Linked DNA regions of Rhinolophus ferrumequinum. The protein of the gene in region 1 interacts with the protein of each later gene in a biochemical or structural test. Links are inferred from orthologs where the notes say so. Each region holds a gene or a part of one and is shown in the gene's direction. Other genes may lie near its edges. The genes, in order: NUFIP2 and FMR1.

Region 1 (3,910 bases):
AATGCAGGATAAGTTAAATCAACATTACAAAACGCAAGAATATTTCTTCAAATTCCGGTATTTTACATAAATGCAGAAAAAAAAAAAACTTAACTTTTAAAGTGCTCTTTTCCTCTTGAAACTCTTCATATTCTAAAATCTATCTTGGTTTCACAGTTGACCTTACCTGCAGTTAAAAAAAACAACTAATTCTGTGTAAATTTTAGATTTTCATTCCTCCCGCTCTCCATTGCCTCCAACTACAAAGAAACAATGATTTAAACCCTTTGTGCCCTTTTAGAAAATTACACAGATACCCCATTGTGGAACCCTATAATCCCTCCCTGGAAAGGAAGAGATTAGCATATGAATACAAAGCAAAATGAATCCAGAATACAAAATGATCTGCAGATTTGTGAAGTTCCTGTATTCTTAAAAATGTATTTATTTACTTCCTCTTTTTTGTATTGCCCCTTTAGTGGTCTCAGGGTTAAGGAATTGCGCTTCCCCTCCGGTTACCCGGAAAAGGATTTTTAAAAAAAAGCCAACAGAGTCTACGAGGTGCAAAACCAACAGATGGCTCCCAAAGCCAGTAGAATCGCCCGTAGAATCTGCCGACATTCGACATGAGCTTGTTTGTGGGCGAGGAGTGTAGAAAGTGCTGTTCGCAGACTGCATGGTGAAGGAGAGAAAGCGACAGAAGAGAGAGCCATAGTGCTGACGTTGAAGGCCCAGCCCTGTGAGGTTGCACAGGGTAAGTGGCGTTGGCCAGGAGGCTGTGGCGAAGGGGGAGGACAGAGGATTTGGGCTAAGGGCGGGGCCTGCGGCGCAGCGTGCCTCTCGATTGCTGGAGCACGCCTGCCAATCTCGCAGAATCGCTCGGTTAACCAGTGCGCAGGCGAGACGCGCTCAGATATACTGAGTGAGCCCGAAGAAGCAGTCTCAGATCCTGACGGTGCAGCAGCCCGCAGCCTCAGCCAGGGAGTCCCAGCCGCTTTCAATGGAGGAGAAGCCCGGCCAGCTACAGCCTCAGCACCATCACAACCACCACCATCCACACCATCACCCCCAGCAGCAGCAGCAGCAGTCGCATCACCACCACCATTATTATTTCTACAACCACAGCCACAACCACCATCACCACCACCATCACCAGCAGCCTCACCAATACCTACAGCATGGAGCCGATGGCAGCCCCAAGGCCCAGTCAAAGCCGCTGAAACATGAGCAGAAACACGCCCTCCAGCAGCACCAGGAAACGCCGAAGAAGAAAACAGGTCTGGGAGGGAGGACGAGTGGGGGAAGGGGAGTCAGGGTGGGGGGTAGGGGCGATGGGGGTGGGGCTGGATCCGGAAAGCGCGGACCGGGTCGGGGTGCTGCGAGTGTCAGTGTGTAGTGCGAGTCTGGGGAAGCCCCCTTTCATTCTCCCAAATCTCGGGCTGGGCCGCGGGGTTTGCAGCGCCCTCCTTCCTCTCAGCATGGGAGAGGCCCAACCAGGCCAGTGTGACCTTCCCGGCCCCCGCCGGGGCTGGAGGAAGACCCTGAGGGTCGGCCTTGGAAGTCTAACGTTGTTATTCTTTTCCCGTTTACCTTCTTGCGGCCCTGGGGGGACCTTAATTTGGGGGCCCTTAGTTGGGGTGAACCTAGCCCCCCAAATCCTTCAGGGTGTAACTCAGAAAGGCCTAGCGAATCCCGACTCTGGTGGTGTCGCGAGACCCTTTTGCAGGCGGCGAGGAGAGGATAGGTGGGCAGAGTTGAGAAGTGTCCTCACCGCCACCTCAAGCCCACCTGTGGCCTTGGGGTTCCCGTCTGGGGGGGCGGTTGGGACCCCTAGTCTCTCGGGTCATTTCCATCCCTAGACGCCCCTTTTGGGCACCGGACCCCGTGGCTCCTCCCGAGGCCGGCTCTCCGGGCCCGCTCCCCCCAGAGCCGGCGCGGCTGGAATGTTCTCTCCTCCTCGCGGGGCCGCTTCCTGTCCGCCATGTTGGAAGCCGATTCCTGTCACCGACTCCGGCGCACTGAGCAGCGGAGGGGGAAGGGTGTCGAGGGGCACCCGGCGCGGCGGAGCCGAGAGCTCAGGATCCCCACCGGCAGTCGCCTTGCCCCCCTGCACTGCGGGGGCGCTGCTGGCTCGTGGCCCCCCTCCCCCAGTCGCCGGCTGGGTTGTGTAACCCGGTGGCTGCCGCGCGGCCCCGGGCGGGTCCCTGGGGTGAGGGGCGGGGGCGGTTGAGGTGGGGGAGGGAAGCGGCCACGAGGGGAGCGGCCTGCGCTGGGCCCCGCGCGCCGGCCGTCGCGTTTCCCGCTCCCGGGTGAGGCGGGAGGCGCGGGCGGCCGGGGCGCGGGTCTCCAGGCAGAGCGGAGGGAGAAGGAGGCCGCGGATCGCGGGCAGGGTCCTCGGCGCCCCTCGGGGGCAGGAGGGCTGGGGGTGGGGGGGGCACATTTTGGGTAGAGGCGGTGCCTGAAGGCCGGGTGGGGTACCCAGCGGGAACCCGGCTCCCGGGTCACGAGTTTCTCTGCCACAGGAACCTCATCTTCTGCCAGGTTCGCTCACGACTCCGGCTCTCAGGCTTTCACTTGGGCCCTTTCCTTCTAGCAGTTCGTTTTTACAAGAAAAGCTTGTTCTATCTCCCTCTACTTCCCCCACCCCCAACATTTACCTTCAGGGCATGGGTAGTATTTTTGAGGCGAGCGATTCGAAAAATGATTGGATGGGGTACGTACGGGGCGAGTTTTTTTGACCCCTATTTCTTGTCCTTAAGGGTGAACCGAGATGGCTCATCCGTGAGGTTGGTTCACTACCATCTTGCCTCGGATAAGGGAGGTTTGTTTCCATTTTGAAAGGAACGGTGTTTTCCCCTTTTCAAACCTTTACTGATCCCAAAACTCTTGTTTTTTTAACAATCGTTAAATTGAGGGTAAAAGTCGTTTTAGAAAATATTTGAGAAGAAATGAACTTAAAAGTTTATAAGCATGGGAATTTTTAAAAATAGGGGTTCTTTATACATTGAAGAGAAATGAAGGGAATGGTAAGAAAATGAATCTTAAACCTAGCCTATCAAATGTGATACAAGCTGTTACTGAGAGCGGGAGAAACACTGCTTTTCTGTTGCAGACTTAATGTGATTTGAAGACTGAAATTGAAATGTCAGGCCTTCCGTTTTTGAAGGTGGTAGGGGTAGGGACTGATGGTGTGCAGTAGAAATGAATATATAGATGTGTTGAGTGCTTAATCCTAAGGATTTGGAACAGTTTAAAAACTACAACACTAGATCTTTTTAACGTTTCATCTTTTTCAATTTAAAGGTGAGAAAATGTTCCCTTATGGTTGCTTGGAATATAAGGCAGTATTACTGCTCAGATTGGAAAATTTTATTTTGTTGGTCACGTATTAATACATACCGTCAGGACTCCTCTCTACATATAGAAGCAGATCGTGAACCGTTCAAGGTGGCATCCTTCAAACTGGGCTTAGCAATTTTGAGAAACATAAACAATTTGGGATGAGCAGGTTTTCATGTGCGGCCTAGTCACATTACTGTTGCTTCAGCATGCATAATGCTAATTTACTAAGAAAACCGGTTTTTTGAAATATATCCAGTATGTTCAGGTGGGCTTTTTTGACCCATTACCCACAAACCTATAAAGAGGAAGATTTTCTTTATCCAGAAGAGGGCGCAAGAGAGGGTTAAATGTGCTCAATAATTTCAGTTTCTAATCCAAAAGCAAGATTTATCAGGACTCAAGTTTTGTTGGGTCCATTTGAAGTAGGGTTAGATGCTTTAGCATGGCGGCCCTAAATAATAAAAGCACTAGGAGTCCTTTGATTTCTCGCAATAATTCTATAGAGTTTACATTTTTCTTAAAATACCTGAGTTTTAAAAAGAAAATGCCTCTCTGGCAGACTTTGCATACCAACAAGGTTACCATGGGA
Region 2 (3,910 bases), on another chromosome or scaffold:
ACTTCCCAGCTCTGACCAGCCCTCCCCAACCCCAGACTGGGCCCTGTCTCACTGTCATAGGTGTACCTATGCTGCATAGCCCTTATCACAGTTGCAACTCCATATGAACTCTTCTGATCGTTTGCTTTATGTCCAGCTAGGCCTCGGGGGTCCAAGTTCAATGCTGACAGTCTGTTTCCTTGTTTTCTTCACCAAGGTCTCACTAGCACTTAGCCCAGTGCCTGGCAGTAGGATGGGCTCAAGCAACTTCTCCGTTGGATACAAGCCTTCAAAATGAAACCTAGGTCAAGGTGGATACAGCAGGCTGCAGAGGCAAGGATGAGAACGAGTTGGGGTTTGCTCTTCTGTGGAGGGTGAAGGGTGAGGGCTGCAAGGAAACAGGTGCCTGAGCCCCTGTCGATGTACGTGACTGCCATCCACACGCCCATTACACCCTCTGGTGCAGGGTAGGCGTAAGTGAAATAGTAGGGAAACTAAGTAACTAAATTAACAAGTGTGTAACACATTTTTTACATATGTCAAGTAAAGCTATGAAACTGAATGGAGGGAAGGGAAGCGCATGGATCAGTGCTGGCTCTGAGGCAGGACTAACGTTTCCAGAGGTCCGGACACAATTGCATCGCCTCTCGGAGGACACAGGATGTATCCACAGGAAAGCCCAAAATGTCTTGGGGGAGGGAGCGGCGTTACTCTCACCTTCTGCCTCTAAGGGTCACACAGGCCGGGGTCGCAGTGGTTGCCACTGTTACTAGTTCAAAGTCTTGTCTTCTTCAATCTAATTCTTCACCTTTATTCTTGTGCCCCACTCCAGCTCCACCTCAACCAGGCTCTGCCCCACTTAAACAGAAACAAACCAAAACAAAAACCCTCCACACCCAGCCAGCCAGGACTCAGATAAATGAATGCACTTGATCTTTACGGGAGGCCCTTTCCCACGCCTCCCCTTGCAGGTCTACAGGGATGGGCACTCTAGCCCTCGCCTGGCGACACCAGGCGGCCTGACCTCCGCCAGCAGGTACGACCTGTCGCCGCCCTTCCCGCCTTCCCGCCCTCCTCTAAGTCTGCGCACGCCAAGCCCGCGCGCCTTACGTTGGGCCCGGCCCCTCAGCCGAGTAGGAGCTGCGCGCATGCGTGCGCTCCAGGGCCCGCGCGGAGGGAGAGAGGGCGGGGCCGAGGGGCCGAACCCGCGGGGGGAGGGGCGGCGTCGGTCACGTGATGCGGTTTCACTGTTTACACGCGGAGCGGCTGGAGCGTTCGGCCTCAGTCAGGCGCTCGGCTCCGTTTCGGTTTCACTTCCGGTGAAGGGCCGCCTCGGAGCGGGCGTTGAGCCGACGGCGAGCGCAGGCGGAGGCAGTGACCGCGGCGCCGCTACCGGGGGGCGTGCGGTAGCGCGGCGGCTGGGCCTCGAGCGCCCGCAGCCCACCTCTCGGGGGCGGGCTCCCGGCGCCAGCAGGGCTGTCGAGAAGATGGAGGAGCTGGTGGTAGAAGTGCGGGGCTCCAATGGCGCTTTCTACAAGGTACTTGGCTCCAGGGCCGGCCCCATCTTCGCCCTTCTTTCCCTCCCTTTTCTTCTCGGCCTCGTAGGGAGGCAGGCCTGGGGCCCTCTTCCCGAGCGCCGCGCCCGGGGTCCAGGGCGCGCTAGGTGGGATGTTGTTGGGGAGGGAAGGACCGGACTTGGGGCCTGTAGAAAGCCCCTCGAGCTCCGCTGCCTCTCCTACAAGAGGCCCTGGCGCCTGTCGGAATGAGAAGCGGCAAGGAGGCGAGGGTGCCCTTTCGGGGGACGATCCCTGCCAGGCAGAGCTGGGGGTGGGCAAGGGCCGGCGGCAGGTACGCGATCGAGATCCCGGCGGGAAGGGCCGGTATCCGCGCGAAGTGACGGCAACGGCTTATTTCTCTTTTCCTAAATATTCTCTCCCAGTGGGTTCCGGGCCTGACGTGTGGGTAGTTGCCGAAGAGCGGGGGGCGCTTCCGTCGAGCCGCCTCCTGCCTTGCACAGAGGGTTTGAGATCTCCTTTGGCTTCTGTTTTCCGGTCCAGCATTGGGACTTCGGAGAGCTCCACTGTTCTGGGCAAGGGGTTTGAAGAAAGAGGAGTAAGAAGCTGTAGTCAGTACCAAATCACAATGGCAACTGATTTTTAGTGCCCTCTCTTTGTGGATTTCAGAAGAGATTTTTAGATCCCAAACTTTTCGGAAGATACTTATCCGACTAATGCATTAAAGAAGTTGGCAGTCTTCAATGTTCTCGGCCCCCTCCCTTGTTACAAATGTGGACAAATTCAGGAATACAGATGCTTCAGCATCTAAAATCATTAGCAACTCTGCTACTTAAAAAACAAAATTTTAACCCTCCAAAGACCTGCATACATGCTATCAAACTTCAGGAAATTAACTAAATGTTATTACTAGGGAATTTTTTAAAGTGAGTGGAAACAATTGTTTTGTGCTGTAAGTACTTGACTGTCTTCCCTGAATGTGCAGTGTTGCAGTGGATTGTATTGTGGGGGTTTTAAATAGGCATACATGGTTTACTGTGGGTTTTTCTTTTTTAAGTTACACCTATGCAGATCACTAATATATTACATTTTTAGAAGGAGAATTAAAAATATTTTGACCTATCAGCAGTGCGTCTTGGTACATACCATAGATCTGCTAATCTATAAATTCCCATTTCCTCTTCAATGTCCCTCTATAACTTCAGCAAGTATTATCTCACTTTACTACAGTCTTTTCTCAATAGAAGATGCATATGAAAGGAAGCATGGAAATTAGCTATTGCCATTGTCCAACACGATTCTTACCATTATTACGGGATCACTTAAACGTTTCAGATGAGACCCCCTTTCGCTAAAGGAAAGTAACAAAAATTGACTTACTAACTATGTGTTTACCAATTTTTTGGAAGTATTTGCAAATTAATATATTTCGTAAGTGAGTGAAGCATGTACATGTAAACTGTACCATACATTTAGCAAAAAGATAAAACCTTTCACTGTAAAAGGAGGAGGAAATAATCCAACATTTATGTTCTTAACACTCTCACCAATATAAAATTGTTCCAGGGGACTGGGCAGTCAAAATTTTGGTTGCGTTTATTTCAGTGATTCATAATTTCTGCTGGTTAAGTTTGTGTAGAATTATTCTGGTTCCAAGACTGGTAGTTTTGCTCACTAGATTTGTGACACTATTAATAAATATGAATGGGGCTAATGTTTGAACAGTATCCTAATCTATGACCTTAGTTTAGATCGCATGCCACTATGTATCTTTTAGTGGAGTTTGCTTGCTATAGAGTAGCAAGTAGCACAGCTCGATCTGAAGGATGTATTGTTCTCCAGCAACCTATGTTTGCTCGCATGATTTTGCTTGCAAACTCATTAGAAGATAACAAATGCCCTCTATCTTTGCCAGTAGTCCTCCCTTTTTGTTTTTTAACAAAGTTGCTTAATGTAAAGGTGAATAAAAAAATGGGTTGTCCTGTAGTTCCTTGGGGCTGGGGGGAAGTGAAACTTGAACAAATGTGCTTAAAGAAATTGCTGTTATGTTTATTTAATTCGGTTTGTTTTTAAGAAAATCTCAAATGGTCTGTATTGGTGGAAAAATAGTTTCTATAATGAAGAAGGATTAAAATTTTATAAGACTCAAAATATTGCTGAGTTGCAAAAGTAAACTGAGTTGCTTGTCCAGTGAGATGGGTAGAAAGGATGAGAAATAAAGACCAATAAAAAAAATGAACTGTTATGAAGAAATGTTACATTTATGAAAAAAAGGAACTTGGTTCCTCAAATTGATAGAAAAGCCTTTAAAAACTAAACAACTCAAACGACTTCAGTATAATTGAATTCAGACTTTGATTTGCCTGACAGAACCGCCATATTGCAAAGGACTATTCTCCATCTTCTGAACACATGGC

What was found.
Region 2: the proteins of NUFIP2 (region 1) and FMR1 form a complex in vitro, tested with the Homo sapiens proteins (2 studies listed by BioGRID and IntAct, with this or other methods). The link is inferred for Rhinolophus ferrumequinum from reciprocal best matches to the Homo sapiens genes NUFIP2 and FMR1.

What each region holds. Positions count from the first base shown.
Region 1 is NC_046304.1:18,309,487-18,313,396, forward strand, and holds the start of NUFIP2 (FMR1-interacting protein NUFIP2), read left to right. Parts: upstream 1-856; 5' UTR 857-979; coding exon 980-1,256; intron 1,257-3,910. UniProt on the Homo sapiens protein: Binds RNA.
Region 2 is NC_046284.1:10,596,664-10,600,573, reverse strand, and holds the start of FMR1 (fragile X messenger ribonucleoprotein 1), read left to right. Parts: upstream 1-1,223; 5' UTR 1,224-1,466; coding exon 1,467-1,517; intron 1,518-3,910.